Callithrix jacchus: one gene and its partner. The protein of the gene in region 2 binds, or shares a complex with, the protein of the main gene of each other region. Links are inferred from orthologs where the notes say so. Each region holds a gene or a part of one and is shown on either strand. Other genes may lie near its edges.

What was found. The genes of interacting proteins can lie anywhere in the genome.
Region 1: the proteins of TLE6 (region 2) and OOEP are in contact, whole or in part, in a cryo-EM structure (PDB 8H94), measured with the Mus musculus proteins. The link is inferred for Callithrix jacchus from reciprocal best matches to the Homo sapiens genes TLE6 and OOEP. Residues at the interface, in NP_444484.1 of Mus musculus: Trp256, Ser258, Phe304, Thr305, Arg306, His307, Val318, Asn320, Val322, Asn323, Glu332, Ser333, Asn354, Ser355, Arg356, Leu373, Ala374, Ala375, Pro376, Ser377, Leu378; in NP_080756.1 of Mus musculus: Arg32, Pro33, Trp34, Trp35, Pro37, Gln39, Glu40, Glu67, Trp70, Met71, Gln73, Gln94, Pro95.

What each region holds. Positions count from the first base shown.
Region 1 is NC_133505.1:78,457,600-78,460,908, forward strand, and holds OOEP (oocyte-expressed protein homolog), read right to left. Parts: upstream 1,821-3,309; 5' UTR 1,716-1,820; coding exon 1,526-1,715; intron 1,323-1,525; coding exon 1,143-1,322; intron 807-1,142; coding exon 727-806; 3' UTR 504-726; downstream 1-503. UniProt on the Homo sapiens protein: Component of the subcortical maternal complex (SCMC), a multiprotein complex that plays a key role in early embryonic development.
Region 2 is NC_133523.1:2,755,667-2,759,944, reverse strand, and holds the start of TLE6 (transducin-like enhancer protein 6), read right to left. Parts: upstream 2,804-4,278; 5' UTR 2,736-2,803; exon of another isoform or gene 2,577-2,735; intron 1,987-2,576; 5' UTR 1,950-1,986; coding exon 1,899-1,949; intron 1,890-1,898; exon of another isoform or gene 1,746-1,889; intron 1-1,745. UniProt on the Homo sapiens protein: Component of the subcortical maternal complex (SCMC), a multiprotein complex that plays a key role in early embryonic development.

The DNA.
Region 1 (3,309 bases), on a different chromosome or scaffold from region 2:
GATTGCAATGCTAGGGTTAATGAATGCTAACTGCCCAGGCTTGCTCGTTGGAATCACTTTTCTTAGAGTGGCCAACGAAGGCCTCACTCTAAGAAAAGGCACAGCCGGTGCTCCTCAGGGGGTCAACTACCAGCTTCAAAGTGAGAAATTCAGATGAGCTGCTTTGGGAGTACTTGTGAGCTCATCAGAAATGCAAATAATAAACCATACCCCAACAGTACCGAATCAGAATCTTCTGAAGAAGGAGCCTAGGAAATGATGTTTTAACAAACTCCCAAGGTGATTTATTACAAGCTTTAAAGTTTGAGAACCAATGACTAAAAACAAAACAGATCACCATTTGTGAGGCTATCTGCCCCCTGTGGCTGAGGGCCTGACTCTGACCATAAAATCATAAAAGGATTAGGAGTTTCAAGATGAGGGAATTCAGGAATAAACCCTACAAAACTACAACCTGCCAGCCTTCTACCTACCCTTCATATCAAAACATGAATGAGTCAATCTTTTATAAATTTGCTTTATTATAAGTGTATGAAGATCTTAATGTCACTGGGCAAAATAGCCATTTATTAGAATAGTTCAAATTCACTCTTGCAACAAAATAAACCACACTGAATCAAGACACAGGAAAAACAAATGCAGGGATTTAGGAATGCTATACTTGCTTCTCTTCAACTTTAGCAGCAGAAGTTGCAAAGTTCTCAAGATGCTACTGACACTATTGTCTTAAGCAACAGAATCCTGGGGAGTGTGGGGGTCTGATGCTTGGGCCTTCAAGTTCTTCTCAAGGTGTTTCATCTTCTCAGCTGGAAGAGAAAGAGTTGATACTAACCATGGACAGGGAGAAGTGTTCGCTGTTTCAAACTACTCAGTGATTGGGAGTTGGGGAGGAGAGGAGGATCTGCGATAGTGCTGTAGCCCAGCTGAGGCTGACTTGGGCAGTGATGGGCCTGAATCTATCAGATCTCCACTGACTTTCCCAAGGTCCTACCTCGGGGATCCCCTCCCAAAAAACTTCGTGCAACTTCCTGGGGTGCGGAAACCAAGAAATTAAGAGGTTAAGGGAGGATGGAAGGAAGCCGAGCAAGACCAGTATGGTCACTCGTGGCTTCCTCCATGTGTAATTTCTCAAAGACCCTCACCTCGGGCTCGATGTTCTCGGTGAAACCATGCCAGGCACAGGAGCATGCTCTTCACCCGATTCTGTACACGGGGCCGTCCAAAAACGGTGATTTCTACTAGGTTCCCAGAGTCCACTATGTCCACTGTCAACAGGGCCTGGCTAGTCCACTCCATTTCTGGAATTATGGCTCGGTCTGGGCCTAAACAAGTAAGGAAAGACTATTTAGGGGCCGCAGTCACAGGTTAGAAGCTGATTTGAAGAAAATGTTGACCAGGGAAGGGAACAGCTGGAAGGTGGGCACCACAGCAACACTCCTGGCTTGAGAATCTGGGAAAGAGGCTGTAGAGAGCTGCTCTGCCAAGCCTCTCTCAGACTGAGAGACTAAGAGTCTAGGTTGCTCACCAAAGAGCACGTCTGCCAGCCATGCCTCCAGGTAGAACACCAAAGGGTTTCTCAGTTCCTGCACCGGAAACCACCAGGGCCGGATGCGAATCTGTGGCAGCGGAAGTGGTAACCTACGCAGCTGCTCCAGGGAGTGGGCCGGGGTCTGTTTGCCCCAATGGGACTCAGCAGCACCAGCGTCATCGACCATACTGGGACCAGCAGCCGCGGAGTGCACGCGGGACGGCTTTCACGTGACCTCCTCCAGACTCAGCCGCGAGGCTCCGGCTCTCTTTTACAGTATTCGACCCGCTCCGCCCCTTCCGGCGGCGCCTGGCACCGCTTCCGGGTGAGCTGATGCAATCGACGCCTGGGCCTAGTGGCGCTTCGGGCACTTTCTGCGCTGCCACAATCGTCGGGACTGCCTTTTTGACCTAGAACTAGTATTCATTTGGGCTCCTGTTGGGTCTTCAACTGTCTCCTTCGACATCTCTGCCTCGTAAGGTATTTAGCCTAAAAGGCCTCTGCTCATCGTATAGCTGATTAAGTGTGAGTTTGAATCGACGACCGTGTTGACTGGGAATCACCTTTGCTGTCTAGGTTAAGGTTTCGACGTTGCCTTCTAAAGACAGGTAGATCAAACCCAGGCAGGTTTGTTGAATGTGTCAGTTTTCTCTCTTCTGCCCCCTTTTTATCTTCTGACTCTCTGGATGGTTACCATTTTGAAATTATTCCAGGAAGTGTGTCATGTTTTAAGCAAAAAATCAGAGGTGGGCTTATAGAACATGTAGCAAGTTACACAGTTTTCCTTTATTTCCACTCTCCTAGACAACCTAAGACAGCCAGTATTGATGCATATTTCTTCTCAATGTTTGTAATTTTAATTAAAAATTTGAATTATGAAAAGTTTCACACACCCAAGAGTCATATGACACAGCCATGTATCCTCTCCCAGTTTAACAGATGTTGACATTTCCCCACATTTGCTTCACTTCTCTGTTCTTTAAAATAGGTATTACTCAAGTATCTTTCCTTTCCCTCCCTAGAGGACATCATCCTGAACTAGTGTATTTCATCCCCATGCATGTCCTTACATATTTTCTACTGTATTTCTGGAAATAGTTTGGTAGTTGTTTCAGAATAGACAGTATCTGCCGAATATACTATTTTGTTCTTACAGTTAACTATGTGTTTGTTCTAAAAAATATTTTCTGGGGAACGGGAAAAAAAAAAATTCTTTTGTTCCAAGATAGGTCTCACTCTATTGCCTAGGCTGGAATGAAGTGGCACGATCTCAGTTTTCACTGCAGCCTGGACCTCTCAGGCCCAAGTGATCCTCCCACTTCAGCCTCCTGAATAGCTGAGACTGCAGGTGCCTGCTACCACACCCAACTATTTTCCATCTTTTTTTTTTTTTTTTTTTTTTGTAGAGTCAGGGTCCCACTATGTTGCCAGGCTGGTTTTGAACTCCTACCTAAGCAGTCCTCTTGCTTTGGCCTCCCAAAGGGCTGGGATTACAGGTGTGAGCCAGCATAGAAGAAAAAAACTCAAGGGCTGGGCGCGGTGGCTCAAGCCTGTAATCCCAGCACTTTGGGAGGCCGAGGCGGGTGGATCACGAGGTCGAGAGATCGAGACCAACCTGGTCAACATGGTGAAACCCCGTCTCTACTAAAATACAAAAAATTAGCTGGGCATGGTGGCGTGTGCCTGTAATCCCAGTTACTCAGGAGGCTGAGGCAGGAGAATTGCCTGAACCCAGGAAGCGGAGGTTGCGGTGAGCCGAGATTGCGCCATTGCACTCCAGC
Region 2 (4,278 bases):
AGCCCCCAGGTCTCCCTCTCAACCAAGGTGCAGGTATTAGGCTGGTGTAAAAGTAATTGCGGTTTCTGCTTTTTGATTTTTGTTTGAAATGGAGTTTTGCTCTTGTTGCCCAGGCTAGAGAGCAGACATTCGATCTCAGCTCACTGAAACATCTTCCTCCCGGGTTCAAGCGACTCTCCTGCCTCAGCCTCCCGAGTAGCTGGGATTACAGGTGCCTGCCACCACGCCTGGCTGATATTTTGTATTTTTAGTAGAGATGGGGTTTCACCATGCTGGTCAGGCTGGTCTCGAACTCCTGACCTCAGGGGATCCACCCGCCTCGCCCTCCCAAAGTGCTGTGATTACAGGTGTGGGCCACCGTGCCCAGCTGGTTTTCGCTGTTTTTGAAATAACTTCTGCAGCAATGTAACACAGGCTGCAGGAATTTGAGCAGCCTCGTAGAAGGTAGGGTGGGACTTCCTCAAACCGGAATTCGTTTTCTCTTTTGTTAACTTAGCACCTAAGAGTATCTTCCATTTTGCATTGGGCCTAAGTCTAAAATATTCACCACATTCTTGTGATAAAGCTAGAAGTACAACATATTTTTGAAAATAGAAGGCTTGAGCTGGGCGCGGTGGCCCATGCCTGCAATCCCAGCACTTTCGGAGGCCGAGATGGGCCACATCACCTGAGGTCAAGTTCGAGACCGGCCTGGGCAACGTGGCCAAACCCCGTCTCTACTAAAAATAGAAAAATTAGCTGGGCATGGTGGCGGGCGCCTGCAATCCCAGCTACTCGAGAGGCTGAGGCAGGAGAATCACTTGAACCCAGGAGACGGAAGCTGTAGTGAGCTGAGATCACGCCACTGCACTCCAGCCTGGGTGACAAAACTGAGACTCGATAAAGCCTCAAAATAAAATACTATATCCACCATCTGACCCCTTAATAAAAAAAATAGTTTGCTCAGCTCTCCTACACTTAGAAATGGTCATCTCTGGGAAGTGCTATAAAATATAACCGGGGCCGGGCGCGGTGGCTCAAGCCTGTAATCCCAGCACTTTGGGAGGCCGAGGCGGGTGGATCACGAGGTCAACAGATCGAGACCATCCTGGTCAACATGGTGAAACCCCGTCTCTACTAAAAATTACAAAAAATTAGCTGGGCACGGTGGCGTGTGCCTGTAATCCCAGCCACTCAGGAGGCTGAGGCAGGAGAATTGCCTGAACCCAGGGGGCGGAGGTTGCGGTGAGCCGAGATCGCGCCATTGCACTCCAGCCTGGGTAACAAGAGCGAAACTCCGTCTCAAAAAAAAAATATATATATATATATATAACCGGATATGTGTTGTGTTCCTGTGTTATCACATATGTGATTAGAAGCTGAAATATGTTTTTCACATGGGATCTCACGCCAATGCTGGAGTGCAGTGGCACAGTCAGAGTTCACTGTAGTCTCTAACCCCTTGGGCTCAAGCAACCCCCCTGCCTCAGCCTCCCAGGTAGCTGGAACTACATGAGGCATGCCACTAGTCCCCGCGGATTCTTTTAGTTGTATTTTTTGTAGCAATGGGGGTCTCACTACGTTGTCCAGGCTGGCCTCAAACTCCTAGGCTCAAGTGATCCTTCCGCCTCCGCCTCCCAAGATGATGGGAATGACAGTTGTGAGGTCCTATGTCCCGCCTACACTTGATTTTTTAAAAAACAGCTCCCTTCAGATCTGGACTCACTTTGGAAAAAAAAAAAACAAAAAACCCAGCTCCTTGGCACCTGTCTTGAGTAGCAGTGATTGGTATTGTCTTCAGCTGCGAGGCCTGGATGGGGCCAGCCCAGGTCACAGGTGGATACAGGATCAGAAAGGAACCGAACTGCATGGGACCCAGGCTTCCCGTGAGGGCTGATGCCACCCCATGCCCTCCTCACCAAAACGCCTTTTGGGGTGCCCTTGGGACTGGGCTGGTCCCTAGAGGTCATCTTCAGGCAGTTAAGCCTCCAGTACTTCAGCCAGAGTCTAAAACAAGGAGACAGCAAGTTCTGAGAGACAGAAAATAAAGCAGTTCCAGGGAGGGAACCCACCCCTGCCCCACCCCCGGGGCCTCTTGCACCTCCCAGTTTAGTAAGTCCCCAGGGACCCAGTCCCACAGCTCCCCACTGCGTTTCCTAGGTCCTGGCCTCACCAATGCCTCTCCAGCTGCCCAGATGCATGGGGGTGGAGCCCCAGAAAGAACAGCCCTGCCCCTCATCCCTCAGTCTAGGAGGTTGGGGTGACGATGGGGCTGGACACATACACTCCCTCCTGGGGACAGTCAGGGATGGGGGAGCCCTGAGAAGGTCTCCAAACCTCAACCTTAGTTTTAAGACAATTTCCTAAAGCACAGGGAGATCACTAGAAAGGGGTTTTGAAGGATGAATAGGAGTTAGCCAGGTGCACTAGGCGTGATTCATCAGACAGAAGAAATGACCTCTCTCCACCTCCATCCCTGCGGCAGCACCCAGCTCCTTCCTTGCCGCAGCCCTGCCCCTCCACGTCCCTGCAGACCCTTCCCCGACCCGGGAACCTTGGAGTCCCCCCAACCCCCAGGAGCGCGCCTGGCAACTCACGTCTCTCACAGGGCGGAAGCGGCAGAGGTCAGCCAAGTTCAGGCCAAGAGGAAACTCCTCTTTCCCTCCACGGGGGCCATTTGACCCATCGGGCCCCGCCCCGCCCCGCCCTGTCGCCGCCCCGTCCCGCCCCGCCCATGGGTCCCAACTAGCTGCCACCTGGACCGCGAAGCCGATCAATGAAGGCGCGGTAGCTGCACGTGGGTTCGGGCTCGGCGGGTCGGGGGGGAGGCCTCTGGCGGCGCTGGCCAATCGCAAGGCCGTTTACGCACGTGGGTCGCGTACGCCTTCGCTGATTGGTCGGCTCTCCCCGGCCGCCGGCCAAGCTGTCGCTCAACAAGTCAGGAGCCTCCGCTTAACCCTTTCGGTCCCGCTGCCAAGAAGGGCGGAATTGCACAGCCATGGGCAATTTGGGGTCCCAGCTTGGGCGGGGATATTTAGGAGGGCGTGGGGGCTTGAGTCTCCGAAGGTGGAACTTGGGGAGGGATAAGTGGCGAGTAGTTGCATTGTTTTATGCATTTTTAGCCCTGTCCGGTAGTGGCTTGTGGCTGGAGGTGAGGAGTGGGAGGTGGGAGGTGAGTGGGGGTGCAATCTTTAGAGCTGTCACCCCAATTCTTAGATATGGACTAATTACATTTTCCTGAATATCAAATAACGTGCAATGCAAACGAAGCTTCCAGTCCTCTTTCTGGAGCGAACTTACTGGGTCCCCTTGATGGTCCTAACCCCAGGCTATGCATTTATCACGGAATCTTCCCAACTGCTCTTCCAGCCCAGTGACAAAGGCTCTGAGAGCAGAAAGCAGGACAGCAGAGGCCCTGAGGCTGGTACAGGGTTCCCAGATCCAAGCCCCGGGTGGGAGAGAGTAATCCAGACAGAAGGAAGAGTGGCCTCTCTCAGGCAGAGGTGGGCTGGTTACAGGAGCAGACAGGGAGGCTAGAGGGGCTGCATGCGCTGGGGACAGACGTCTGAGAGAGAGACTGAGAGATGCGACTGAGAGAGAGAGACCTGCCATGTGGGGTCGGGGGGAAGGGCGGACTGGGATTCCGGTGCTCTGTTTTGGCCTATTCAAAATATGAGGTCAGACACCATGGCTCACGCCTGTGATCCCAGCACTTTTGGAGGCTGAGGTGGGAGGATCGCTTCAGCCCAGGAGTTGGAGACCAACCTAGGAACAGAGGGACACCCCGTCTCTACAAAACATTAAAAAATTAGCCGAGCGTGGTCATGCACCTATAGTCTCAGCTGCTTGGGAGGCTGAGGCAGGAGGATCGCGTAAGCCCAGGAGGTTGAGGCTGCAGTGAGCTATGATTGTGCCACTGCATTCCTGTCTGAGCAACTGTGCAAGACCCCCTCATAAAAAATATATATATTATATATATGTGACCACTTCATGTATGTAGATATTCATATATGAACATATTCCTATATATACTGAATACCTATGTTCATACATATACTCTATACATATATTCATATATGCTATACATATATATGTATATATGCATATACGTACACAGTATATATGTGAATGTATAGTATATATGCATACAGCATCTATATGGATATATGCATATACGTAGACAGTATATATGTCAATGTATAGTATATATGTATACAGCCTATATATGGATATATGGATATACGTAGACAGTATATATGTGAATGTATAGTATATATGTATACAGCATCTATATGGATA